4 linked regions of the Astyanax mexicanus genome follow. The protein of the gene in region 3 binds, or shares a complex with, the protein of the main gene of each other region. Links are inferred from orthologs where the notes say so. Each region holds a gene or a part of one and is shown on either strand. Other genes may lie near its edges. The genes, in order: pigc, dpm2, piga and pigq.

Region 1 (6,856 bases), on a different chromosome or scaffold from region 3:
CTACATCAGAGAAATGCACTGGAACAGTCCATCCCCTGCATATGTGCCAATTGTTTATTTTTGTTTTCCATTCGGAACTTGTGCCAATAACGTTTGGTCGCTGTATTGAAACCCATAAAGGTTTATTTATACTACTCGTCGTGTTCTTCTTTACTTGTATTCTGTGCAGTTTTATGGTTCGGTTTGGTTTTGTCATGTATGTTGTCATTATATTTAGTTTAGCCCAAATACAAAAAATGATCAGCCAAAACTTTTGATGCCATAATGTTGCTGCCTTTTGCATTGTAATGTCAGGCCAGTGTAGCTAACAAGTAATATAAGCTTATAATCAGTTATCAGTGTACTGCATGAAAGGTTAAATTAACCACTACCATTGTTTTTAGCTAATGTACTTTTTAATAAATGCAGCATTGTGTAGCATTCAACCTTAAAATAACAGCTTCAAAATCATTCTGGTGAATCATTTATCTAGCATTGCTCCTGATGCTGATACCTGCACTATGTAACTTTGGTGAAGTGGCCAGAACACTATATAACTTGAGTCATAATTGTGTCAAATCCTGCAATATCCTGGTTCTGTATCTCTCAGTTCGGCAAGAAAAACCTGTTCTTTAGCTCTTGTGCAAAGAAGGAATTCCTGAAAGTAGGAGCACAAAGGCAAGAAATGCCAATTTTTCTATTGTCTTGCTTTAAAACACAGGACTGTTGTGCTATTATGTTTGGGTCCAGGATGACATGATTGTGTCACAATTTCTAATGAACACTTTCATAATGCTTATTTTCAATTCAAGCACAAAATGTACCTTTGGTTTCTGCAGCCAAGGAGTTCTATTCTGCTCACTAAAACATATCAAGCTTCATTAGGTAGTTCCTGAAAAAAAATCTTTGGGAAATTTGGGAAGAGGTTTCTCCTGGTAACTCATGAAGTCATATGCATGAAGGCTATATTTGAACTAGGAATTGCTGAACAGTAGAACAGAGCACTATCACTCCAGGGACTAGATATTTTGATGATCTTTAGCAGGAAAAGAGCCTTTCAGATTTGCTTGCCTTTTCTTAAATTCCACAAGCAGTTCTCTTAGAAATGTTATGTTTTTCAGTCCTCAACATTAGCTGCACTATTTCTGATAACTGTCATATCTTATTTACATTATGATTACAAAAAAACACTGTCACATCTTATTTACATTATGATTGCAAAAAACTGATTGTTAAGACAAGATTTTGAGATGTCAGGGTATTTAGAAAGTTGTGAAATGTTATGACTGGAACCAAGCTATAGTTTTTAACAAGTTATTAAAAGACCTTGGTAAAAAATTGATCTGAAAGCGTAACTCTGTTGGGGTGCCTAAACCCCCTTTTAAAATGTAAAAACAAATTTAAAAATGCACTTAACTTGCCTAGAATGTTGATAGAATGAGCCATTTTAACTTTTTTAAATAACTTTGTCCTAATTGAACTATTTATAGTAACATGCATTTTGGCCAGGGTCAAGGTTACCTTTGGAGACAGTAGAGATCCTGACTGGCTATTCTTAACACTATGGATTAGGGGCTTGTGTTGGGCTGGTCCAGGCACTAAGCCGATCAAGTGCTTGGCATATGGCTGTTCGTTTCTAGGGGCACAACTTTTTCAAAAACAGGATTAAAAAAGAGAAATGTGCCAAAGTTGCACTAGATGGTAAAGGCATTGTGTTTTTAAAACAAAATTGTTTTTAAGTGTTTCGCTATCTCTTTATTTTTAGCTAATAAGACCACCTACAGTGTGATATAAACTTGGGTAAACACTATTAAAATCTTTAAGACTAGAAATATGATAGACCGCAATATGATGTTTAGTGTTTTCAATCCTGGTGCTGGGGCACCCTGCCTAGCACATTTTAGGGAATTCCTTGCCTTTACAAACCCACAGTCACTCTGAAAAGACGTAACTCAAAATTAACTCATTAACAGAATCGGGTGTGCGGGGAGAAGAGAAACACTGTTCTGTTGCTTAAAAAAGATAATAGTGCACTTGAATAATTGTTGCCAAACAAGGCTGTATCCTGTGTCTGTGTTGTTTCCTAGACAGTGACTTGCAGATATGTAGGCTTACCAGTATCTGCATGCATATCTGAGATGTGCTTTAAAAGCACAAAGAAGTCATGTTATGTTGTATTAGCATTAGCCATTTCTATTTCTCTACCAATACAATTGTATTAAAAAGGTAAACTGTAAATATGTATATATATATATATATAGCTACATTACCTATTTCTTTTGAGAAATATTTTTATGAAAAAATGTCTTTTTGCAATAAATTGATATGATGTGCTCTCCATATTAAAACATTTTAAAAATGTGTCTTACTGAGTGCCCATCTATTGGGGCTCTTCTGCTCTTTCCATTAGAAAAAGATACTTTTATAATGTGCCTCCTATTCCACAACTACTAGATAGTGTACTGTATATACAGTAATTCAGTTTAAAATGTAAAACTCATATATTATATAGATGTTTTACACACAAAGTGATCTATTTTAAGCTTTTATTGTTGATGATTATGTCTTATAGCCAATGAAAACCCAAAAATCAGTGACTCAACTGGTACTCTATAAAAGTTGTCAGCAGAGGGAAGAATGAAGTGCTGTAAGATTTTGTACGAAAACGCTGCACTGACTTTAGACTTGATAATAAAACACAGTGGATCAACACCAGCAGATCACATGACTCCCCAAACCATCACTAATTGTGGAAACTTACACTAGTCCTCAAGCAGCTTGGACTGTGTCTCTCCACTCTTCCTCCAGACTCTGCTCCCTTGCTTTACAAATAAAATGTAAAATTTACTGATGATCAGTGACGGTTTGGAGAGTCATATTATCTGTAATATGTAAGTTTCACATTTTTTACTGAATTACTAAAATACAGTAACTTTTCAATGATATTCAAATTTTTTTAAGATTCACCTTTTAAGATGCTACCAAACTTTGCTGGAAATTGACCCTCCAGGCCTGGAGTTGTGCATTTCTGGGATTGACAGAATGTGTTGTTTCAGGCAGTCAAAAAATTGTCAATTTATGACCATAAAAAAGTCTCTGGGATAGTGTAATGTTGGTCAGCACGGGCGTTTGTAAGCTGGTGTATCAGAGCTGAGTCGCTGCACTTTCCTCTGAGTGTTCTGACTACCTATTGATTCTGCATCAGTGGCGGTTAGTAAAGAGGTAGTGTGTGACTTCACATGTTTCAGAAGACGCAGATGCTAGTTTTCACTCGACTGGTGTTTGGGAGCATTTACAGAGATAGGGAGTCCTAATGTGAGGGTCAAGAAGTCTGGGAAAACATGAGAGAGCTTGGTGTGAAGTTGGAGTTATATGAGAAATCTATGATGTATGTCATTTTTAAGGACAATGTGTCAAAAAAGTTACAAGAATTATATTGGTGAATTGTATGTGTGACAAATAGTAAGATTTGTGAGACAAGGTATTTGATTGTAATAAAACAAACACAAATACCTGCACAGGCTGTTTTTAAACAAATAAAGTGTCAATTAAAAAAGGAGGGGTAAAGATAAATATCCTTGGGACGCTTTAGAAATATGATGAGTATTTTAATTAATCATTTTTTAATGTGCTCTTTTTTCTCTCTCCCCGTGTAAAAGATCTCTGTAAACCATGCTATTGATTTATTTTTTTTTATTCTCAGTGTTGAAATGTGTTAAGTCTAATTTTACAGCGATACAACGTTCCTGTCAGTCCCTTTGGCAGTTATAGACATATCAAAATCTCATTTTGGTTTAACAAAGCCCTTCTCTGGATATAATCAGTTTTCTCACCTTGTTCACTACTTGTGTGTACTCCTCCAGCAGGGGGCGCAACCCCGCCCGCCCGGTCAGTCCGCTCTGGTGTTTTCAGCTTTCGTCACATCCGGCAGATCCAATGGCGAGATGTGAGCAGCGAGGAGGAAGCAGCTGATCCGGTACGAGTTTAATACCTCAGTTTATACAGTTTATCTCCTTACAGCAGTGCTCACACCTCTGTGTAACTGTGTAACTACTGCCTGAACACAGAGAGAGAGAAAAAGAGAGCTGTGCCAGCCTGTCCGCTGTGTGAGGACACGCTCAGACACAGTGAGAGATACAGAGTGCAGAACCGGTTATGTACTGAGTCTGACTCCTTTAAAACACTGAACAACGGGACGAGGAGGATTCTTTTTAGTGGTTTTCAGTATTTAAATGTGTTAATTAGCCCCTGAACACAGGGAAAAGGCTGAACTCTTGAGTCAGTAGACAGTCAGACTGTCAGTAATGTCTCCACCCTCTTCCTGTAGCTGTTGTTCCTCCTCCAGCTCTTTTCTTTTCATCACTGCTCCTCTTGACTGTCATTCTGTACCGTTATGATTAAAGCGGATTTGTATTTACAGGTTCAGCACTACTATTATTATGTTTTTTTTTATCCGAAATAGAACTACACACATAAAAACCGAAGGTTTGCTGTTGAGTATTGTAATGACTGATGGTGATACATGTCTGAACTCAGAGTGAAGCACTGGAACTAAAAGGACAGATCTCTGAAATTTTACTAGTAGAAACTCTCATTTCGGATATTAACTCTAAAATGTTTACTAGTAACAATATCCTATATACAGAACTATAAATACATTCTGACCAGACTTACTACCAGGATGATATATCCTTTATGTAATTTGGAGTAATACAAGTATGCATTTCAGACATTTTTATCATTATTTCTTATTATTTATGTTCTGACTAGTCTTAATATTATCTTAATATTTGTAAAACTAGATTTTTTACTAAATAACATGCCACAATTGATTATTTTTTTCAGTTACTGATCTGTGGATTGATACAGAAGTGTCTATATTGCTGTTTTTTTTTAAGTTGCCCTCCCCAAAATGAAGGATAAAAATGTTTTTTCTATGATTTTTCTATGCTCTGTCTTTTTGATTCAGAAGGAAATGATTAGAATAAAAATGTGTAGGATATAAACTACTTTTGTTGTCACACTTGATTCATTTTAAATTTCACTGTACAATCTGGCTATTTAATGTTAATACAAAGGCTGTATACAAATTTACTAGTCCATGCTAAATTCATGAATTCCTCTTTTTACATAAATGAGACGGCTTTTAAAAATATCAGAATTGGTAGATCAATGAAAGCTGTCTCATTACATCAAAATGAAAAGTGTGTTCAAACATTTCGACTCAATTAGAGAATTCTGAGTAGACATTTTGAGTTTTAACCTATTCTTTCTATTTATCAAGCTGCTAAAGTACTGTATGACTGTATAAGTCACCTTAAAAAGGAAAGTGTAAACTCACCAAATCAGAGAAAAAAAATCTGATTACTCAAATCACTTGAGGTGTTTCAAGATGCATTGAAGTGTAATATTCTCTCCAAGACAAATAAAACTCCTCCCAATATAACCAAAACACAAGTAATAATTGCTGCGTAAACTTTTTAGTTGGATGTAATCTAGCCATAGTCATTTGAGGTCACCAGGTGAAAACAGGGTCTATGTTTTCTAGTAAATTCACATGGTGTATTATAGCTTCATAATCCATATGTCATTTTGCAGGCGATGGGCGCAGACAGTGGTCCGGGTGCTCCCCCAGCAGTCCCGTGGCGTAAAGTGCTGTATGAGCGTCAGCCCTACCCTGACAACTATGTGGACCGCCGCTTCTTGGAGGAACTGCAGCGCAACATCGGTGTCCACCAGTACCGCTACTGGGCTGTGGTGCAGGAAGCAGGCCTGGTCGCTCAGCAGGTCTCCTGTGTAGCCGTTTTTCTCACATTATGGTTCTACATGGATCAAGGAGACCTGGGACCCTCCACCCTGCTCTGGGCCAGTCTTGGGTGTGCACTTCTGGGTTATGGGCTCTATGAGGCTTTGGGAGGAGGCAGTGGAGAGCGTACACGCATGGCAGACCTGCAGAGCGCAGCCATCTTCTTGGCCTTTACCTATGGCTTTTCTCCTGTGCTGAAGACGTTGACTGAATCCGTGAGCACAGACACTGTTTATGCCATGTCATCCATGATGCTGCTGGCCCACCTGGTGTCCTTCCCGTACACACAGCCCAGCCCCCCAGGCAGTCTGTCCCTGAACGCAGCGCTGTTTGGCTCTGTGTGTTTGGCCTCACGGCTGCCTGGGGCCCTGCACACCTTCGCCATGCTGAGCTGTGCCCTCCTGGTGTTTGCTCTGTGGCCCTGCCTGCTCCATCGCCTCAGGGACCGGGCTGAGTGGAGCTTTCCCCTGGCTGCAGGCCTGGTGTGCACAGCTGGGGTCGGAGGTTTGGCAAGCCTTTGGCCAGGAGGAGCTCTTCTCCTTCTTTTAGCTCTGCTAGTGCTAACTTTAGCCTGTCCGATGCTGCTCGTGCATCTTCAGAGACACAAAGACAACATCCACGGCCCGTGGGATGAAGCAGAGATCAGAGAGGACCTCTCACGATTTTTAAGCTAACACAAACACATGTAATAGTACTATGGACCTCTTTTATACTGAAAAATTGTTAACTGTACACTGGTGAGTGTTGAGGGCTATGACAGCTGCTTATATCAGATGTTCAGCACTTTAACATAAAGGCTCAGGGAAAACTTGTGCCTACACTGACCACTCCTTTTTTAAGACTCCATCTGCTAAATGTCTAAAACTGTAAACAACGTGCACATAATCATGAACAGTATTTTTAAAATATTTAACTCTTACTAAAATACCTGGTAAAATGATTACATTTTGTTATAGTTATTTATTTGATGTGTAATAAGTCATGAAAAAAAATATGATGGTAAACAAAATTTTTGTGCTTTTATGAATTAAAACACTTTGTCATACTAATGTAAAGTTTCTGAAATGTTTT
Region 2 (7,983 bases), on a different chromosome or scaffold from region 3:
CGCATATAAACTAATCGTTACATGGTCTGTCCTGTGGCTGAGGTTGCTGTGGTCACTGGGTTTTCAATGCTAGGGTATGGTGTCCTGTTGTTTATAGAGATGCAGTGTTGCCAGGGCCCTCTTACAAATCACTGGTGATTTCATCAGCCTCTTACATACTGCTGCACAGCCTGCTGGGAGGAGTCTATAGGAACGATCAGCAAGCTTCAGAGAAGAGCTGGGTTTAAATTTAATGTCCAGTCTTGGGCAGCTGAGAGATTTCATCACTGGACAACCTCAGTCCACTTTCTTTGGTTTACGATTCTTCCACGTTACTACTCCTATGAAGGTGCCTGTGGATAAAAATAAATGGAATAAAATCCACTGAAAAAGCAAATACTGGCAATTATGTCAAATAAAAAAACATTTATTGTGCATCCCTAACTACGATTATTCTAGCAATTAACCAACTATTTATATTAGTATTATTTTTAAACAAATAAGCTTAACATTTAAAGGGCTTTACAAGTTGGTAAACAACAATGAATTAGGATTAGAAACAAACACTTCATAGTAAAAAAAGACAGGAAGATACATTTAGATAAATAACACTTAACAGTGAATGGATTTTTCAATGTAAAACATAAAAATACATTAATGAAATTAAAAAGAATGAGAATCAAATCTGATTACTAAATGATGGTTTTAAATTAAGTTTAAAATTAATTGTGTTGTAGTTTTTGATGAAAACTTTTGCAAAAGAGAAGTTTAAAAAACAGTATTTATTTGTAGCACCAAAAAGAAGTAGTCTTTTTGCTCAGGTGCAATTAAAAATGTTTACATGCACATAATAATCAAATAATAATATGATAACTTGCTATTAAGAAAATAATTGATAAATAAATCAACGTGTTTACAATCCCTGCAAGAACCTAATAATGAGAAAACTCAAGAGTCTATTTTTGATTTATTATTTATTACAAGAAAACATTTTTATTGTGTAATTAAACTTTTAATTTATCTATAAAGAAATGTATTTTTCTTTACTTACCGACACAGAGTAAAAGAATCAGTGCTGCTACTCCTGGAAGTATGACCGAGTACTCACGAGGAAGAAAGTAACTGTGGATCACATGATCACTGTCTACGAATGGCTGCAGAGAGAGCAGAAGAGATCTGGTTAGTTTTTATGTTGTGACAGATGTCTGTTTGTATCATTATTTGGGTTCAGGATCATTCATTCTTAGTACTGCAGTAAAACTGGCATGGTGGTGGTGTATGAGGTGTTTGTGTGTGTTGTGCTGGTACGAGTGGATCAAAAACAGTTGTGCTGCTGGAGTTTTTAAACATCGCAGTGTCAATGCTGAACTCAGAATAATGATGACCAACACAAACTGTGCAGCAAGAGATTCAGAGCTTCTGTCTCTGACTTTACTTTAATTTATCTACGAGGTTGAGGAGCTACAGTAGGTAGGAGTGTCTAATAGAGTGGAGGACAGTGAGTGAAGAACAGTGTTTAAAAACTCCAGCAGCATTGCTAGGTCTGATCCATACACACAAAATAAGTGGACCTATCGCAGCAATTTTCGAAGGAAATCACTGCAGTCAGTGCGGAATCATAATACTTTGATAAATATACAGGTACAGTGCTGTTTTGTGCCATATTGCCCATCCCTACTCTAATTTCAGGGATGTAGCTACGTCATATATTTTTCAGGCATTAGGGAACACCTACTAAAATGAGTGAGACTCACTGAACTTCCATTATTAGTGGGTCCCCTGCTACTCTCTGCTACTTCTTCCACTAAGCACAATTTCTAATCAGTACCCGTTACTTTCACTTTAGTACAGTTTCTGTGTTAGAACTGAGAGAAGGTAGATAGGATTTGTTTTACTTACCAGCACTATAACCCATAGGGTGTAATATGTGAACAATAATAGACTGAAGCCAACGAGACCCAAACCCACAGCTTGGTCTGCTCCGGTCGCCTTTTCAGAGGAAAAGAGAAGTTTTAATCAACACTAATCAACAGTTACCCTAAATACAGGTAGTTTCATCCTTAGGCTGAAGCATTAAATGCTGTAAGATTTCGTGGGAAAACACTGCACTGACTTTGGACTTTATAATAAAACACAGTGGATCAACACCAGCAGATGACACGTCTCTCCAAACCATCACTGATTGGTGGAAACTTCACACTAGACCTCAAGCAGTTTGGACTGTGTGTCTCTCCACTCTTCCTCCAGACTCTGCTCCTTTGATTTACAAATGAAATGTAAAATTTACTGATGATCAGTGATGGTTTGGAAAGACATGTCATCTGCTGGTGTTGATCCACTGTGTTTTATTATCAAGTCTAAAGTCAGTGCAGTTTTGTTTTCCCAGAAAATCTTACAGCGCTTCATGCTTCCCTCTGCTGACAACTTTTATAGAGATGAGGATTTTATTTTCCAGCAGGACTTGGCACACTGCCCACACTGTAGCCAAAAGTAAGCCATAATCATCAACAATAAAATAAATAAACAATTAAAATAAATCACTCTGTGTTTAATACATCTATATAATATATGAGTTTCACATTCTTAACTGAATTACTGAAATAAAGTAACTTATTTTTAATGATATTCTATTTTTTTAGATGCACTAGTCAGTCAATGATCCTGCTTGTATACCTCAGAATGAGGGGCATAAACACACAAGCATGAGCTCAGTATATCGCAGTACACTAATATACATATCTCATACACTAATAAAAGGTTTATTTTCCAATTAAACGATATTTAAACCAACAATAACTAAAAAAAACAGATAAACACAGTCTAACAGTTATTTAGCTAAAGCTAGCTAACGCTAACTGAGCTCTCAGTGAACTTAATCGGCCCTAAAACTAATTTAAACCTATTTTTAAACGATTTAAAGGCCAGGAAGCGCAAATATATGACCAATTATCATGAATAACTTCATATAATAAATATATTACACTATAATAACAGGATAATCTTCTACAAATCTTCATCTTTCAGCTTACCATCACGAACTCGTCACTCTGCAACGCGTTCTTCCGTTTGCGTCAGGCGTTTTCGGTGTACGTATAACAGGCATTATGGGAAATGTAGTTTATTTGAAATGAGATTTGAAATGACAAAAATACGCCCTCACCACGAGAGGGAGACAACACCGACCCATCGCAATACATCACTGTTCACCTAATACACTTAAACGATTACACTTAAAATACACTTAAACTATTACATTTACAGTACAACAGTACTGCTGTTCTTTTTTCTATTGAGTTTAATTTGAACTAAAGTGCTTTTTTATTTTCTCTTCTTATCAATGTCTTTTTACTGCATTTCTTTGCCTGTCAGACCCTTAATTCTTCTCCTCACTGCTGAAACCGAGACTTAGTCCAATGTCAAGATGAGCTAAAATCGTTGCCATGTGGGTCAGCCAGACCTTTTCCTGTACCAGACTTTTTTCCAGTTTCCAAGAGTCTTTTGAAGGTGTAGGAAACGGTACTCACCGTTGTCATCTGTAATTTCTGTGTGTTCTGTTTCTTTTTCTAGTTATTATGATAAAAATGTGAATGTGCTGAGTGTAAGTGTGTAAATGCTGCAGTACAGAGTACAGTAACACCATATGTTCCAGCACTGCTTTACTTCAGACAAAAGGCTTTGGAAATTGATATTTAAAAAAAAAAAATTAAGCTCAGGTAATTTTCATTGCTACTTACTTAGTTGTAAGCTGTTAACCAATGATTTGTTTGCTAAAAGTCACCCCTGCTATATATATATATATATATATATATATATATATATATATATATATATATATATATATATATATATATATATATGCATTTTTTCCTGTTTTTATCATAAATATATAGGCTCTGACCGTTTACTGCAAAATTTTGTACACTAGAAGGCAGAAAAGAGCCGCCCCTACCTGAAGCTCAATCGACCTACAGCTGATCATGCATTGTAAGCAACAGATCTCGCTTTGATGAGCTTGAATCTACATCATACATTCAATATATATTTCTCAGAAATTCACATTCACAAAAAAAAAAATTAAGACACACTTCAATAACGCTGAAGTGATATTCCAGTTGTATGGAGGGATAGTAAAAAAAAGACACAACAGTGATTTTAGGATGCCCCACATTTGCTTTATTTCCCCAAAAATATGACATTAATACACCTCCAAATACACATTTACATTACAGAATACGAAACATTCATATTTGAGTGTAGAAATATAGTTTAGATCCATCATGAGACATACAGTCATACACCAAATAAAACCGAATGTGAGGTCAAGAAAACTTTGGAAATTATTTGTGTGATCATAAAATAGAAATATTCAAATAATTCTTTATATAATCAGAAAAATAAACTCATCACTTTTGTGGTAAAGTTAAATATAGATACTGCGTTTTCATAGAAATCTGTAATCTTTCAATATATCGATCATTTGTTAATTGTAACCAGTATAGTGGTCAAAAAATGGAGTCTTTCTGTCTGACCCAAGTGCATAGCGTTTGAATCTTTTACAAAATGAGAGAGAAAGAAGACAAACAGCATTAGTTGTGGAGGATTTAGCAGGTTTTTGTTTCTTTAAAGTTAGTATTTAAGTGCCGTTGTGGTGAAAGATATCTTTATTCGTTGGCCGATGATTCTACTCTGGAGATCACAGTGTAGTTTAACATTACGTGTAGAATTAATACTCTCAATCAAAAATGCTGAAAACACACCACGTTAGAGGAGAATTCCTCAGAAACAACGTAAATCAGAGTGAATTACACAATGGCCTTCAAGCGTTCTTACTCTTTTATAATGTAAGATGTAGCAAATCACACAAATACCCCTTATTCCCCCTCATTCGTCCCAATACTCAGTACTTGTCTTCCCACAACAGCATCTTAAATCACGTTTACAGAACGACGTTTGTGAGTGAAAAGAAAGATCAGTCACAGGTTACAGTCCATCACGACTGATACAAGAGGCTCATTTTTTTTTGTAATACAGGAAAATAAAACAAGACAAATAAAATAACAACATTAGCCTCTTTAAGTAGCAAATACATTGATCATTTTCATGCTGTCACAAAGTTTATTAAACATTAAAGACTTACCAGAGAGCGATCTGATAAGAAACAAACACTGTATGTGGAGAAAGTCTAAAATAAACCAGCCTGCTGGTTTGGAAATCCCAAAAAACAGGACAGTGTTAGCGTTAGCATTAGCGATAGCATTAGCATATCGCTCATATTGTTAGCAAGGAGGGCAGTACGAAGAAAGATAGTGAACAGACTGTCTGTCAGAGCACAGACAACAAGAAAGGGTGTGATTATTTTAAATAAAGTCTTTTGATTTAGATTCCCTTGATACTAGTGTAGTAGCCTAAAAACTACAAAAGAAAAAAAAACCTTGTTCACTCAGTGTTCACCCAGATAAGACACTAATTCGATAAATGCAAGCTTAGTGAGATAATAATGTAAGGCAGAGTGAGGCACAATCTAACTCAGGGTAAACTGTAAAATGGATTTTTATGTAGATGAACACATTTAAGCAGAACATTTACTTTTTAGTCTTATTGAATTTCATAATAATGTAATTTGTGAATTAGCTTTAGTACCATAATAGTAGTGTATATTGTGTATTCATACTAATCCCTCAGTTTGGGGGTTACGGTTGGTTACACACACTTGTCTCATGGAGAGTAATTTATTCATTTAAGCTGTAAGCATGGTATTGTTGGTATTGTAGTGGTTTAGGAAGTGTGCTACAGTAACTGTAGTCTTGTTTGCCTCTCTCTCTCTCTCTCTCTCTCTCTCTGCTGTGTAAAAAGAGAGCAACCTACAGTTGTGGTCAAAAGTTTACATACACTTGTAAAAAAACATAATGTTATGGCTGTCTTGAGTTTTCAATAAGTTCTACAACTCTTATTTTTCTGTGATAGAGTGATCGGAACACATACATGTTTGTCACAAAAAACAGTCATAAAATTTGGTTCTTTCATAAATTTATTATGGGTCTGCTGAAAATGTCACCAAATCTGCTGGGTCAAAAATATACATACAGCAACATTAGTATTTGGTTACATGTCCCTTGGCCATTTTCACGGCAACTAGGCGCTTTTGGTAGCCATCCACAAGCTCCTGGCAAGCTTCAGGTCGAATGTTTGACCACTCTTCTTGACAGAATTGGTGCAGTTCAGCTAAATGTGATGGTTTTCTTGCATGAACCCGTTTCTTTAGCACTGTCCACATGTTCTCAATGGGGTTTAAGTCAGGACTTTGGGAAGGCCATTCTAAAACCTTAATTCTAGCCTGGTTTAGCCATTCCTTTACCACTTTTGATGTGTGTTTTGGGTCATTGTCTTGTTGGAACACCCAACTGCGCCCAAGACCCAACCTTCGGGCTGATGGTTTTAAGTTTTCCTGCAGAATTTGGAGGTAATCCTCCTTCTTCATTATCCCATTTACTTTCTGCAAAGAACCAGTTCCACTGGCAGCAAAACATCCCCAGAGCATAATACTACCACCACCATGCTTGACAGTAGGCATGGTGTTCCTGGGATTAAAGGCCTCACCTTTTCTCCTCCAAACATATTGCTGGGTGTTGTGGCCAAACAGCTCAATTTTTGTTTCGTCTGACCAGAGAACTTTCCTCCAGAAGGTTTTATCTTTGTCCATGTGATCAGCAGCAAACTTCAGCCGAGTCTTAAGGTGCCTTTTCTGGAGCAAGGGCTTCTTTCTTGCACGGCAGCCTCTCAGTCCATGGCGATGTAAAACACGCTTGACTGTGGAGACTGACACCTGTGTTCCATCAGCTTCCAAATCCTTGCAGACCTGCTTCTTGGTGATTCTTGGTTGACTCTTGACCATCCTGACCAATCTCCTCTCGGCAGCATGTGATAGCTTGCGTTTTCTTCCTGATCGTGGCAGTGACACAACTGTTCCATGCACTTTATACTTGCGTATAATTGTCTGCACAGTTGCTCTTGGGACCTGTAGCTGCTTTGAAATGGCTCCAAGTGACTTCCCTGACTTGTTCAAGTCAATAATTCGCTTTTTCAGATCCACACTGAGTTCCTTTGACTTTCCCATTGTAGCTTTTGTAGCTGAGTCTAATCACTGGGTCAAATGAGCCCTATTTAAATGGGCTCATGAGAAGTCAACAGCTGTAGTCAATCAGAATCACTTACAAGAAGTGAAGAGGCCATGACATGAAGCTAATTTGATTGACACAACTCGCTACATCACCAAAATTGACAAATTTTGTTGCTGTATGTATATTTTTGACCCAGCAGATTTGGTGACATTTTCAGCAGACCCATAATAAATTTATGAAAGAACCAAATTTTATGACTGTTTTTTGTGACAAACATGTATGTGTTCCGATCACTCTATCACAGAAAAATAAGAGTTGTAGAACTTATTGAAAACTCAAGACAGCCATAACATTATGTTTTTTTACAAGTGTATGTAAACTTTTGACCACAACTGTATATGCTACTTTTTTAAATCACTCTTTACCTTTATCACTTACTGTTCTCAGCTTTGGATTTTTAAAATTATTGAAAATAAACAAGATATTCTGGCTTTAACATCTAAGTTCAGCTTGTGGTGGTATGCTATAGTTTAAGTTTTACACACTTTACTGCCGAATTAATACAATACAGGCTGTATTATCTAACTCAACAAGGTATCATATGGAACTAGGTTAACTAAATGTACCCTAAAAATCTGTGTGTTCAAATTAAATGAAAATAAATGTTGGTTATTCTTTACTTTTTGTCTTTTTTTCCCTTGTTAGATTCTTGTACTTTTAACAAACCTTAAGGTCCAAACTGTAGTGCATTACATCCCCAATACCAATAATTTTTTTTTATGCTGTGCCCCACTCTCCCATATTAATTTATTATAACAAATAACAGAATTACAGGCACCCTTTGCTTTAAAAGGAAAAACGACAATACTTCGTTTTAGTCTTATTA
Region 3 (6,983 bases):
GTGTACGACACACACACGATGTGATTGGTGTCACACAGCGTTACAGTCAGCAGTTTGTTGGTTAGCACTGAGCTCAGATCAGCGAACCCGAAGAGCGAGTGATCAGTGAACACCGTGTTGAGGCCCATGGTCTTGGCGTGGAACAAAGCATCATGGGCCATGGCCGAGAAGGAGCTGTGGGCGTGTACCACAGTGATGTGCTCGCGTACGAACACACACCTGAGCAGAGGTAAGCTGTGGAAGCAGGAGGTGGCTGTGGACTGGTTATACATCACCTACAGAAAAGAGAGAAACAGAGGACAGTCACTTTCATTTTAGGGTTTTTTTTTATCCTTAAAAGAAAATAAATTCACCTTAACATATTCACACACATTTCTTACACACACTATATATGGCCAAAAGACAAAAAAAAAAAAACAACAACTATGGAGTGAATTTAGTGTCAAACGTTTTACGCAAAAAATTAAATTCGCAATAAAAATTTGAGAATCAAAAGAAAAAAGAAAAAAAAGTGTATGTTGCAAATTCAAAAAATAAAAAAAATTAGCAAATATATATTTTTTTAAATATACTTGGTTACTTAATTATTCTTTGCACTTATTTTCACTTATATTTAAGTTTGGATTTTGCCAGTCTTTGCTCTTATTTTTTATGTTTTTGTGGATTTTCTGCGGATTTTACCCTTGAATCTCCATTGGTTGGTCTCAGACTAGGGTATAGAGTCCAAAATCAGATGACCAATGGAGATTCAAGGGTAACGCCTTCTTCTAAGCCCCGCCCACCCGTGAAAACTGTGCCTAATCTAAAAAAAAGAAATGCAGAAAATGAAGCAGAAGCAAAAGAGAGATTCCAGGATAAAAAGTCTTTAGCAGCAGTATATTTTAGCAGCAACTATATTTAAAAATATATATTTGCTATATTCTTTTTTTTTGCATTAAACTTTTGGCACAAAATTCACTTCATTAAATACCTGCTTATTCATTTCTCCTTTCAAAAAATCAAATTAATATGGGAGGTTTTATACCCCTCTACCCCTTACCTGAAATAAGGAATAGTGATAATAGCATTATATTTGTCTAGAAGAGTCGTATTTAATTGGCAATGCTTCACTACTAAAGGGATTAGATAAACTGTGAGTTTGTACATCTCTGTCAAAAATAGGTGCAATTTAAAGTATCAGGATGCATTCTTTAGAGTGGGTGACATATATTATATATATATATTGTACAATATAAATACTAATATGTCCTCAGCTTCACTGAAGCTCAGCCACACACCTGCAGTGGGAGGTAATAGACCTTCAGGCCGTTGGTGAGGTAGCGAACTCCACGCCGGTCTCCGTACGCATGCGTAGCGATCACCACCTTGTGCCCCCTCTCTAAGAGACACTGTGAGAGCTGGTAGATGTGGCTCTCGACTCCGCCCATGTTGGGGTAGAAGAAGTCAGACACCATACAGATACTGTGCTTCTTCTGGGAGGAACGTCTGGCCGTGCCGGAGGGCAGCAGACTGGCAGGACTGTGTGGGGCGGGAGGATGAGCGTCAGGCTGGCAGGAAGCAGCCGCCTGTTTATCTCCTCTTCTTCTTCTTGACTTCATGTTCACATCCAGTTTAGACCTACAAAAAAAAAAAAATGGCGATAATTTAAGCAAGGCGATACACTGTGATTGATTAAATACATTTATTTAATGCATCGTAGTTCAAAAAACGACCTATTATATTTATAAAATCTAAAAAAAAAAAAAAGTTTATTTTTTTAGTCCAATAAAAACAGTGGGATCTAATGAGTAAAAAAAATCTCAATATTTCAATATATCAATTGTTTTATACACCTCTAATAATTAAATATTAAAATATGTACTGTCATTTACTCATTTAATTTTCTCTACTCAATCTGTAGTTCAGAACACTGGATATTAATTGGATAGTAATTGAGAGTAATTGATACTCATGATATCCTTTGCAAAAATATATACATAGTAAATCTGACTTTAATCCGGTAGCAATGTCAAACGTGGCTTTTGTGTGACAGTGAAAAATATAGTATTACAAATTGCAATACTTTGAAAAATTGGAAATATTTGCATTTAAGAATACATAACTATATACTTTAACATGCTTAAATGTCATTTAAAAAAGCACAGTTGTGTTGACTACATTTCTTGAATGTTTTAAAAATATATACTAATTGCATCCTGTTACTACACTACTAAACTAGATACACCGATCAAATATAACATTATGGCCATCTCTTTGTTTCTACACCTATGATATTTATATTTTTTTTTATATATTATTCACCAATACCAGAATGATAAGATTTTTTAACATAATATAAAAGTTTACTTAAAAAACGCTATAGGCTGTAAATATTGCATAGTCGTTTAGACTTATTCATTTAACTTTAGCTTTTTAGCATATTCTCCTCCACCAGTCTTACACACTGCTTTTGGAGAACTTTATGTCACTTGTGCAAAAAATCAGTTTGTAATATATTATATCATTTATATAACAGTAATTTTGAATCAGAAGATGAAATACCTGTTTATTGTAAATCCATATAGAGTTAATCCTGTCAGTCAGATTTCCTGTTTCTGTAATATAGCTTTACTTAACCCCCCAAATCAAACAGGAATAACTATTATATTCATATTCATACAACTGAACTCCGGGTGAAAAGAATATTATAAATTAAAATGTATGTAAAGAGTGAGTTTTATAGTTTAATCAATAGGTTAATATTAAGATTTACAGAGTAAGTTAGAGTTAGCTGTGTTGAGCTAACAGCTCGATGGCTATGATATGTATAATATAAATACCTGCAGTCAGACTCCGGCAGCTAAACAGTTGATATCACAGCCTCTGTGTGAAAGTTTAATAAAGTACAGCTTCATATCTACCTGTTTTATTAAGAGACAGACTGAAATAACTACATATTTCTGTTATAAATCACAGAACTCTTGAGTTAGCACATCTGCTACTGAGCCAGTACACAGTCTTCTTCGACTGCTGCCGGTCTCCAGCAGCACAAAACTGCACACCGCCACCTACCGACCGCACTGAGCTACCACTGCCCATAGACATCATATACAAAGACCACGCGTTGATTGGCCGCCATATTGGATGGGTCATTCATGCGCCCCAGAAAAATAATTTTCTCACTAAGGAAAGTGTTTTTCCCGATTTCCACACGGTTTGATTTGTTACAAACAGCAGAGATGTAGCAATGATACAGGACGCTGTATAAACGAATTCATTTAATATTTTAATGAAGAAACACGTTTTATATAGTTAATGTGTGTATATACGTATATATAAATATAAAATTAATTATTTATACACTTGTTAATATGCCATATCACATGTATACAGAGTTGCGATTATTATAGTTGTATTAAACACCTTCCTCAGTGTAAATTAATGCACTGGGTCGCGTGGTTGACTCCTCCAATATGGCGGCCACGCTACACGCCAGGAGGAGGGTACGGCGCGAGACCGGGCTCCAGCTCTCGTATGTCATAATAAAGGTCCTCCGTAATTAAAAGGCTCGTGGATGTCATAAAATTTAAATTATAATAAAATGTCATCTTAAAAATGAAGAAAGTTACCTACCGACTTGTTTAGTATATTCCTTTAATAGAATATATGAGGTATTTCCCTAAAAACGCAAAGAAAACTTACCTGTATGTCTTCAGTAAATGAGTTAGCTAGGTAGTAAAATAAAATCTAAAATTTAAAAAAAGTAGGAGACATTTGAGAGTTCAGCATTGGTAAACATTTTATTGCACAAAGTTTACAATTCCCCTTTACAGTATATTTAAACTCTGTAAACAGTGTTGAGCAGTGTCTCGCCAGCATATAAAGGGTGAAAACAAGCCTCGATTAAAACCTGTACGCCTTTAAACAGAATATCAGATGAGTTTCTACTTCAGCAGTTTGTGCACGGTTAGTGTTCATATAAAACTACATCTATACACTGTAATTCGTTCTTCAAAGCACAGAGCAGCATTAAATACAGTGGATCAGCCAGGAACTGTGAGAACATATCAAAAATACATTTTAAATACAGCGTGTTCAATCTCCAGACTCATCGTTTTATCCGTGAATTCAGGTGCATCCATTACCAGGGTTAAAATATTTATAAATACTGTTCTCATCATGATCATGATGAATGCCATAACTCTTTTACTTTACATCAAACATTCTTTCCAGATAAACTGTAACAAATATGTTTACATTAGAAGTTGTTCTTTCATATGTTTGCCTTTGGAGTCTCCTGATAAAAAATTATTTGTGCTAACAAGATCATGTGTTTTTAATGACATTGTGGATTGTGCTGGTCATTTATCATTAAAAGTTACTCATAAATCCAGACATCTGCACTGTGAAAAAATGTACCCTACATTTAAGGACATTGTCTAATTTAACAGTAGAGAACTAACTTTAGTAGTGTCCAGATTGCCTGCACTGAAGGCACAGGTCTCTTAAACAAAGACCACATGCATTCAGGGGCATTTAATATATGTATATGTTTATATAGCTACATATATAAACTAGTGTGGTAGAGTGGTACAGTATTTGGCAAACACACAAGGAAGCTCAGAAGATTAAAGCTTTAGCTTCAGTACTTTAGCGTCAGTTCTATCAGGGAGAATCACACTGGAAGTGGAGATCTGTGCAAGCGCAGCAGCCAGAACAAGCTTAAAAAATGAAGAAATGATCACTGCCTTTTCCTGTTCTTGCTGCAAATGAAAATGTTAAAATTACGCAAATTATCAACAGAGGTTCCACCATGTAAGACGACCCAATACCACGTCCTTAACCACACCTTTACCCACTCTCTCTTTACTCAATACAGTTAAATTCAAGTTTTTATCCAATAAAAATAACACTTTCTAAACATTTTGAGCTACAGGTGCAAAAAAAGGATGCACACTCAAGTCCGACGTAAACAACTTTCATCCTTAAATCTCCATTTCAATGCAAAGATGAACACAGAAAAATAAAGAAAACACATGGTACAGTTCAGTTTTTCAGTATGTCTGTGCTTCATGTTGATATTGCTGTATTGTGTAATAGAACTTGGGGAAATAGTGAAACGTCAGGTGTTTTTACAGGCTCATTTCCCCTCATTTCACCTTCATCTTCTCCAGTCGTTTGGTTAAGTGGCTGTTACTCGACTTCAACTCCTCAATCTTATCCAGAGCAGACCGGAGCTGTCGTTTACAAAAAAAGGTACAGCAACATATTAGTGTCTTTTAGAAATTAGAATTTATTTCAGCAGTACTGATCTAGTCACACATACCTCAACAGTGCAATTTTAGGAATAGATTTACCTCAGTAGTGCTATTCTAATCATACATTTAGTGCTACTCATGGGAGTGAAATTTATTCAGAGAAAGGCAGCCAGACTTTTTTTCTTTTGCCATTTTCAGCTTTTTCTTTTATTATGTATTTGGTGCATGCACAGCCATTATGGTAACATTAGGGTACTTGTGTTTTCAGTTTCTGAGTTTTGGCACAGTTTTCACAGGTGGGCAGAGTTTAAAAGAAAGCGTTCCCCTTGAATCTTCATTGGTAGGTCTCAGACAAGGGTTCAGGTACCAGTCAGTCCAAAATCAGGTAACCAATGAAAATTCAAGGGAAACGCCTTCTTCTAAGCCCCACCCACCCGTAAAAACTGTGCCAAAACTCAAGAATAAAAAAATGAAGCAGAAGCAAACGAGATTACAGAAGTAAAAGTCTTTATCAGCAAAATCAACAGAAAATCCACAAAAATTAGGTACAGACTGTCAAAATTCAAACTGAAATAATTTATAAAATAACTGCAAGAGAGAACTTTTGATTTTACCAAATTAAAAACCTCTGGAATATAATCAAAAGGAAGATGGATGATCACAAGCCATCAAACCACCAAACTGAACTGCTTGAATTTTTTGCACCAGGAGTAAAGCAGCATAAAGTTATCCAAAAGCAGTGTGTAAGACTGGTGGAGGAGAACATGATGCCAAGATGCATGAAAAAAAAAACTGTGATTAAAAACCAGGGTTATTCCAGCAAATATTGATTTCTGAACTCTTAAAACTTTATGAATATGAACTTGTTGTTTTCTTTGCATTATTTGAGGTCTGAAAGCTCTGCATCTTTTTCATTATTTCTTTGTTATTTCAGCCATTTCTCATTTTCTACAGATAATACAATATTTGTATTTGGAATTTCCATCATGACAAATAAACATACTCAAGTAAAAAAAAAAATCCTCCATCATACCTCTCTCTGCAGTTTGCGTTTCTCAGCTTTAAGCTCGTCCTCCACTTTCTCTGCGTTCTCTGCTGCAGATTTGTATCGAGAGACCTGTCCTTCCAGTCTTGTGGCCTGATATTAGAGATTTTAGAGAGATTTTAACATTTAACTCTATTTAAGCGCTTTAGCACAAATAAACATTGAGAAAATTGAGAGGAAGTTCTTACATTCTGTTCCAGAGCTGTGACTTCCTGTTCAGACTTCACTAGCTTAAATTTCAGATCAGTGATCTGCCTGTTGGCTTCTCCTGCAAAAGAACACAATTCATTAATGATAACTTATCAATGATCAATGTATAGATAACAAAAAGCCTTTACAGTGTTAATTTACAAGTTTAAATACTTTGTAAATCCATGACGTTATTGTCTGTGCCGTTTTCCATCGTCTCTCCCTCGAGCCTGGAGACATCCTCTGTGTCCAGCACCATTTTTTTCTGTTCAAGTTGTCCTTTAAGTCTCTTCACCTGAACAAAAAGACATTTTTACCACTATTAATATTATTTTTATTATTACTACTTGTTCTTTAATTCATTGTTATGCTATAAACTACATATCGTCGCTGTCCAATAATAAGAATAATCTTCATTTTTGTCCATTTTTTTAGTTTACTACATAATTTGAACAGAGAAACAGCCCTTTACACTGTGCCAAAATTTCTTGATGAACGGACCAATAGAAATA
Region 4 (7,452 bases), on a different chromosome or scaffold from region 3:
AACAAAAAATTCTACACATGATTTAAAATAGAAAAAAAACATTATATAGTTTATTTGCTTATTTTAACATATTGAAATGAAAAATAGAAATGAATAAATGTTGTGTGTGCAGAATTGATGGTCAACTGAGTATGTTAGGTTTTATATTTTTCTGTTATATTTATCATTCATTACATGTGCCAAGTTTGTTTTGAGGATATAATTATGTATATATTATTTATTTTCTAGTAGATACTTCACTATGTATAAACTACTATATAATATGTAGTATATAATATATTTATATCTAGTATATGCTCCACTTTATATAAATTACTATTTAATATACATGCAGCTCTGAAAAAAAAATGAGTTTCTTTGATTTTAACAAATTGAAAACCTCTGGAATATAATCAAGAGGAAGATGGATGATCACAAGCCATCAAACCAAACTGAACTGTTTGAATTTTTGCACCAGGAGTAAAGCAGCATAAAGTTATCCAAAAGCAGTGTGTAAGACTGGTGGAGGAGAACACGATGCCAAGATGCATAAAAACTGTGATTAAAACCAGGGTTATTCCACCAAATATTGATTTCTGAACTATTAAAACTTAATGAATATGAACTTGTTTTCTTTGCATTATTTGAGGTCTGAAAGTTCTGCATCTTTTTTGTTGTGACAATATTTTTTCTTTTGGAATTTGTGAGAAATGTTGTCTGTAGTTTATAGAATAAAACAGCAATGTTAATTTTACTCAAACATAAACCTATAAATAGCAAAATCAGAGAAACTGATTCAAAAACTGAAATGGATTCTTCATTTTTTCCAGAGCTGTATATTATTTTATATTTTTTCTAATGTACATTTTAATATACTGTATGTAAACTACTAAATAAAAGTCAGTATATAATATACATTATTTATTTTAACATATATTCAACTATATAATATACAGTATATATAAAAATGCGCATGCTCAGTAAGACGGCTGTTCTGATAAGTATCTCTCTGACATTCAGAGGGATTCTCACAAGTCACGTGATCTGTAGTGGCTTCATCCTGAAACCACAACACAGCGTGTGTAAACACACAGTGTGTGTGTGTGTGTGTGTGTGGTATGTGTGTATTTTCCTCTAACACGTCTTGCTGCTTGGAAACAGTCCCATCACTTTCAGTTCACCTCACTGCTCACCTGCATTATCTCTTTCCTGCTAAGAATCAGCTTTGGAGGAAACGGCTGCTGCTGATCAGTATGAGCTTTATTAATGATTCAGAACTGGCCTGGATTCCAGGTTATCGATACAGTTACTGAGTACTGTAGGAAGATCCGGGAGAATTTAGTCTGATTGGTCTGAATCAGTCATTCAGGATGTGCAGGAGGTTTGTATATTTACAGTAAAATACATTATACACTTTCTATTATATAGTATATTCTATGAATAGTGATGACTGTAGAAGTGTATTCGGTGCTTCCCTATTGAATATTGTTTTAGGGTCAGAATACTCTTTATTTTGGGCCTCAAAAGATAAAAACAATTTGATTTTATTACTATTAATTAATTTTTTTAATTTTCTAAAACTTTACACTAGACAAGAAATTACATTTTTCCACATAAATCACTTTATATTTTCACTTTAGTTTTTTCCTTTCATGCACCTTTCACACTTCTTTGGTTGACCATGGCGAAGCCTGTTCTGCTTAATGCTTCAAAAATGCTTCAAAAGTGAAGAACGAATGCAAATTGACTTTATTAATTTCTATACTGAAAATAAACAACAAGACTATATAAAAAACTATATACTACAAAACTCCTAACAAAAAACAGAACAGATAACAGAGGATCAAACAAGTAAAGGAATAAATATGTCCCAGTTTTATACAAAGAGCACACATTATAACCCATTATCAAAGAAAATGGGGTATAAATACACAGACAAGGAACACCTGGAGTAGATAACAAGTGGGCTGAGTTACAAATGAGATTAATTTAGTTATTTTTATAAAAATATAAAAATAACACTGCTTAGGGAGTAGTGAGTAACAGTTTATCACTACACAGGAAGCTGACAGTAAAGTTTTCCCATCAGTCGTCACGTGACTTTGGGTTTAAACAGCTGCGGCGTTAAATCCATGAAATCATCACGTTTATTATGGCTGCAGTTGATGAGCAGTGCTGTCAATGTGACACACTTTTACATGTCTTTTATATGATGAAGCTGCAGAGCATTTAGAATAATGGGATTTATAGGACATACAGTACTGTGCAAAAGTTTTAGGCACCTGTGGGAATTTCAGGGAAAAAAGCTTCTTATCTGTGCAGTAAGTGTTTATTAGCTTAGTAAAACACATTATGGCCTTACAATAAATACAAACAGCAATTTTACAAAATTTTATTTGTGTTTTAAACTTGAATTGAAACTGAAACTACATGTATTATGTAGTTCCAAAGCCAAATAGTCACGAGTTGAAGTAAAAAGAAAATACTAATTTTATTTTACTTTAAACTTTAGGGCAACTTTTAAACTTTTTGAAAAAGTTGTAAAGTGAATAACTATTTTTGAGTAGTGTTCTAATCCAGATTATGGCAAGACCTACTCAAGTAAGTAAAGAAAAATCTAAAGAACATTAAAAGTGCACTACAAAGACTATTAAAAGCATTATGATGAAACTGGCACTCATCAGGACTGCTCCAGAAAAGGAAGATCAAGAGTTTTCTCTGTTCATCAGAGTTACCAGTCTCAGAAACCACAAGTTAACAGCTCCCGAAATAAGAGAACTGTTTAAGACTTTTAAGTTACTACATGATTCCTTATGTGTTCCTTCACAGTTTGGATTAGTTCTGTATTCACTTACAATGTAGGAAAAAACATTGAAAAAGATGTCCACACTTTTGATTGGGACTGTATATTTATATTAAAATATATAACATATAAAAAAATATAATAATTTAAGAAAAATGAACTCTGTTGTCCTTACACACATTCACACATGATAATGACCTGAAACAGATGGGTAATATCAGTGTTTGGCACACAGTGGCTCAACTCTTCACAATTCCTATTAAATACTGCCACCTACTGGACAACTACAATACATATATTTAATAAAAAGGAAAAACTGTTAAGAGATGCTCTTATCTGTGCAGTCCAGCAGCTGTTTAAACTGTATAACTGAGGCAGGGTGAGTTAACTGAATCACCACGCCTGGACACAAGCTGATAATATCAGTGCTTATTATGTAGAAACAGTCTGCTGACACTGCATTAAACACTGAATAGGATTTTACAGACACTAATAAATCCTATTCATGTCCAGTTTTACAGGCTGATCTGCATATTAAAAAATGTATTAATTAAATTAGACACACAAATAAAGACTTAGTTCTTAATAATAATAAATGACATTAAATAAAACTTAACAAAAACAGGCTTAAGTGTGGGCAAACATAATTAAATTAAGAATATATATATATATATATATATATATATATATATAGCTCTGGAAAAAAAGGGACCATTTAAAACTTATGAGTGGCATAAAGTTATCCAAAAGCAGTGTGTAAGACTGGTGGAGGAGAACAAACCGAGATACATGAAACTGTGGGTGTGAAAAACCAGGGTTATTCCACCAAATATGATTTCTGAACTTTCTTTTTGCAATATTAAAGATCTGAAAGCTCTACAACTTTTTTTGTTATTTCAGCCTTTTCTCATTTTCTGCAAATAAATGCTCTAAATGAGAATATTTTTATTTGGAATTTGGGAGAAATGTTGTCTGTAATTTATAGAATAAAACAACAATGTTTATTTTACTCAAACATAAATCAAAATCAGAGAAACTGATTCAGACACTTAAGTGGTCTCTTATTTTTTCCAGAGCTGTATATGATTTTATTATTATATTAAGGGTAGTTGCTGTGGTATACCAGGTGGTTAATAGGGTTGTTGCTGTGGTATACCAGGTGGTTGCTAGTGTACTTGCTGTGGTATTTCAGGTGGTTGACAAGGTGTTGTAAAAAAGTATCTCAGGTGGAAGCTAGCATGTTATCAAGTGGATGCTATGGTACCCCGTGTGATTTGTGGTTGTTTGGGTGTTACTAATGTACTGAGGTCAGTGTGACACACCCTTTATTTCTATGGTTAAAAAAAAAAGTAAAATAATGAAAAACTAAGTATGCAAGGCCAAACTGCACAGACAAAACAGTCTGGGGCTGAAATGACGTTAAGATGCTATAAATACAAGAAAGAAGAAGGATATAAATTGGATATTAATATATTTGCCATAATAAATTAATAAATTAAGAAAAATACATTTTTATCTGCTTTTAAAAATGCTACCTGAAGCTGCAGGTCATTTTGTTTTGGGGGAGGGAGGTGAAATCTCCACAGTTGGACAGTGTTTACAGTAAAAACAGCTTCACCTCAAGCTCAGTCAACTCAAAGAAGGCTAAAAAACTCACACACACCAACCGTACTTAGCCATGCCTCTAACTTACTAACTAACTCACTAACTGAACCCAGTTCCCTCCAAAATGTGTGGTGTTATCTTTCTGAAGGTTGTTATCAGCTCAAATAGGCAGTTCTGTCTGTGAGGAGATCCTGAAGAGCTGAAACACTGGAGTTCTACACTGAAAATAAAGGTAAGTAGAAAATAACAACAAAACTGTTTAATTTTGCTTATGTGATAGTTTACTAGGGTAACATAGTTAAAATAATGAGAAAATTGTTTCATAGCTAAAATTGAAGGTTATATAGTATTTATTGTTATTGAAATGTATTAAGGGAATTTACAAGACAAGAAAACCTGTTAGTTATATAGTAGTTTTTGCTTAACTGTGGTAAAAATAAAATAAAAAAAAATTAAAATACAACTCAGTTGGATCTGTTTTCAATTAGTTTTACTATTTACTTAATTGTTTTTCAGTTCATATTAAATATACACACTATATATGCTGCATTTTAGTTTTGTGCAAAATTTGTGAATTTTGGTTGGAACATTTGTTTCTACTGAATATTTATAAATATTGATATACACATATTAGTTTAATTGTTATATTATATTCTTGAAATATTATTTTTTATATTCAATTATTTTTTGTTTAAAAAACAAGAATCTCGTTATTGCAAAAACACCCTGAAATATTGTTATACTCTTTAAATTTTTAATAATTTAGCTATATGCTAAATGCTTTTTTTTAGTCTTTAAAAATAATTTCATGCACCTGGATTTGCCATTAACTCCTAATAAATAAACACAAAAAATTTAAACCTAGTAATTTATCTACATTGATTTGTCCTACAATAGCGTAGCAAAACATATATTCGTGTCAATATCTAATTCTATTTCAAGTTGTGATCCAAATCTATCTATTTTATTTATTAAATTATAATTCAAGCGAGTAATTATTTGGTCGGAACGAATTATCTAAGCTTCAGTGTTTGAGCCCGGTGGGTTAATGCGGGGGGTCCGTCGGTGGCTGTGACTTTAGCTAAGATAGCTAGCCTAGTGTGTTTCTGTTTATTTAGAGTATAAAACTTGTATTTATGGTGCAAATAACGATGCGTGCTTAAACATCTGTGTTTAGGGGTTTGGAACAGGGGGGTGGTGAACCAGAGGAGTGGTTGGGAGAGCTGAATAATGCGGATTAAAGTGGGTGTAAACAGGCTAAGCTAACGAGCTGGGGTTTAGCTGTAGCTGTAATATGGGGATTTTGGCTGGTTGTTGCTGCTGCTGAGGGCTGTGTGTGGTGTTATAGAGGCTGTAGTGAGATATTAATGTGTTATAAATGACCCCCCTGTAGTTTATAGCTTATAGTAAGCTGTGTGAGGCTGGTAGCTGGCTGTGTGTGAGGCTGTTAGCTGGCTGTGTGTGTGTGTGGTGCTGAATGTGGGTCAGTGGTGCCTGAGGCTCTGTGTGTATCTGAGCTGCTGAGGGTCGATATTCTGTATGAAGGGCAAAAGCACAGCAGCTGGACTGAGCTTCATCTAGTCCACAGCTCTGGGAGTTTCACCACAAGCTGGGTAAGTGTGTGTGCATCTGTTTTTGTCTAAAATAACAGGATATATACAATAAGTAACTCTATTCTTTACTATAAAAACTAAATTTCTAGATATTTGCAATATTTGTAATGCATCTTTTCTTCTAGACTAAATTTTCACAAACCATAATCTAGTTTTTACTTGTAAACTCAAACTAAAAGTTTCGTGATCTCTGTAATGGAAAAAAAGTAAATTATCTGGGGTTGATGCTGCAGTTGGTCTGCAGGTCTAGGTTCAGCAACAGTATGTGCTGAAGGAATAAGGTCAGCTGACTACCTGAATATACTGAATATAGACCAGGTTATTCCATCAACGGATTTATTTTTTCTTCCCTGATGAGCACGGCCATATTCCAAGATAACAATGCCAGGATACACGGTGCTGGAATTGTGAAAGAGTGCAGAGTTCAGGGAGCATGAGATCATCATTTTCACACATGGATTGATGTTTACTAGGGAATTTAGTTAATTATTGTAGGGTTTTTTTTTTACCTCCTGAATCTTCTGAATTTCTTCTCAGTTAAGGTGAAAGTTTTTTCTCTCTTTTATACTATTGAGAAGTGTAGCATCCTTAACTATCCTTTACTTCTAATAAATCTTTGAATTTTGTGTGTCTGATTGACAGGAGTTCTCATTTTTCCTCCCGGAGGTATTTTGAAGGATCAGCCATGGTGCTGAAGATCTTTTTCCCCAAGTGCTGCAACACTGCGGACAGTGGTCTGCTGGTGGGCCGCTGGATTCCGGGCCAGGACTCGGCTGTTGTTCTTGCCGTGATCCATTACCCCTTCATACCGGGCCAGGTGAAGAAGTATCTGACTCAGATGAGGAGCCAGACCAAGGTGGACCTGACCGTTCTGGGTTCGTGGAGCATGCCCAAAGATGGCCAGGAGGGGATGGACAGCTTCTTGAAGGACCTCAGCACCATCTTCCCTCATTCCCGCTGGCTTCAGCTGAGCCGTGAGAGCGGGAAGAGGGCCTTCACCTGCCGGGTGGTGCAGGAGAATGGGAAACCCGCGGCTAAAAAGGACGGTGATGATAATGATGATGATGATGATGATAAAGATAAAATCATCTTCGTTCATTACGATCAGAGGAAGGTCATGCTGTCGCAGCTCCATCCTGTACAGGAACAGAAAGGCTCTGAGGAAGAGTCTACAGAACTGAGGACCATGTTTCAGACTGTGGCTCAGAGCGAGCCCCTGTTTTTTCACGATATGTACGACGAGGGGCCGCTGAAACTCACGCACTGGCAGTCGGAGGGCAGGGAGGCCAGCATCATCGTGGAGCTGGTGAAGCAAGCCTCCGTCCCAGTCTGCATAGTTCTCACCTGGCTGCTGTCTGTGTGGCACTGGCTGTGTAGCTTCAGGTGAGCCTGGTTTAAAGTGTAGATTTTAGAGGTGTAATGACAATTTTTTCAGGTAACTACTTGATAACT

The links.
Region 1: piga (region 3) and pigc share a complex: the UniProt entries of both Homo sapiens proteins name them as parts of the glycosylphosphatidylinositol-N-acetylglucosaminyltransferase (GPI-GnT) complex. The link is inferred for Astyanax mexicanus from reciprocal best matches to the Homo sapiens genes PIGA and PIGC.
Region 2: piga (region 3) and dpm2 share a complex: the UniProt entries of both Homo sapiens proteins name them as parts of the glycosylphosphatidylinositol-N-acetylglucosaminyltransferase (GPI-GnT) complex. The link is inferred for Astyanax mexicanus from reciprocal best matches to the Homo sapiens genes PIGA and DPM2.
Region 4: piga (region 3) and pigq share a complex: the UniProt entries of both Homo sapiens proteins name them as parts of the glycosylphosphatidylinositol-N-acetylglucosaminyltransferase (GPI-GnT) complex. The link is inferred for Astyanax mexicanus from reciprocal best matches to the Homo sapiens genes PIGA and PIGQ.

What each region holds. Positions count from the first base shown.
Region 1 is NC_064408.1:62,449,271-62,456,126, forward strand, and holds pigc (phosphatidylinositol N-acetylglucosaminyltransferase subunit C), read left to right. Parts: upstream 1-3,845; 5' UTR 3,846-3,955; intron 3,956-5,577; 5' UTR 5,578-5,580; coding exon 5,581-6,459; 3' UTR 6,460-6,834; downstream 6,835-6,856. UniProt on the Homo sapiens protein: Part of the glycosylphosphatidylinositol-N-acetylglucosaminyltransferase (GPI-GnT) complex that catalyzes the transfer of N-acetylglucosamine from UDP-N-acetylglucosamine to phosphatidylinositol and participates in the first step of GPI biosynthesis.
Region 2 is NC_064408.1:13,683,441-13,691,423, reverse strand, and holds the start of dpm2 (dolichol phosphate-mannose biosynthesis regulatory protein), read right to left. Parts: upstream 3,021-7,983; 5' UTR 3,012-3,020; coding exon of another isoform or gene 3,009-3,011; 5' UTR 2,997-3,008; coding exon 2,961-2,996; intron 1,969-2,960; coding exon 1,879-1,968; intron 1,134-1,878; coding exon 1,031-1,133; intron 333-1,030; coding exon 277-332; 3' UTR 1-276. UniProt on the Homo sapiens protein: Regulates the biosynthesis of dolichol phosphate-mannose. Regulatory subunit of the dolichol-phosphate mannose (DPM) synthase complex; essential for the ER localization and stable expression of DPM1.
Region 3 is NC_064418.1:1,992,294-1,999,276, reverse strand, and holds the start of piga (phosphatidylinositol N-acetylglucosaminyltransferase subunit A), read right to left. Parts: upstream 3,021-6,983; 5' UTR 2,820-3,020; intron 1,618-2,819; 5' UTR 1,599-1,617; coding exon 1,278-1,598; intron 276-1,277; coding exon 1-275. UniProt on the Homo sapiens protein: Catalytic subunit of the glycosylphosphatidylinositol-N-acetylglucosaminyltransferase (GPI-GnT) complex that catalyzes the transfer of N-acetylglucosamine from UDP-N-acetylglucosamine to phosphatidylinositol and participates in the first step of GPI biosynthesis.
Region 4 is NC_064426.1:4,414,445-4,421,896, reverse strand, and holds the start of pigq (phosphatidylinositol N-acetylglucosaminyltransferase subunit Q), read left to right. Parts: upstream 1-4,441; 5' UTR 4,442-4,619; intron 4,620-5,418; exon of another isoform or gene 5,419-6,000; intron 6,001-6,642; 5' UTR 6,643-6,685; coding exon 6,686-7,383; intron 7,384-7,452. UniProt on the Homo sapiens protein: Part of the glycosylphosphatidylinositol-N-acetylglucosaminyltransferase (GPI-GnT) complex that catalyzes the transfer of N-acetylglucosamine from UDP-N-acetylglucosamine to phosphatidylinositol and participates in the first step of GPI biosynthesis.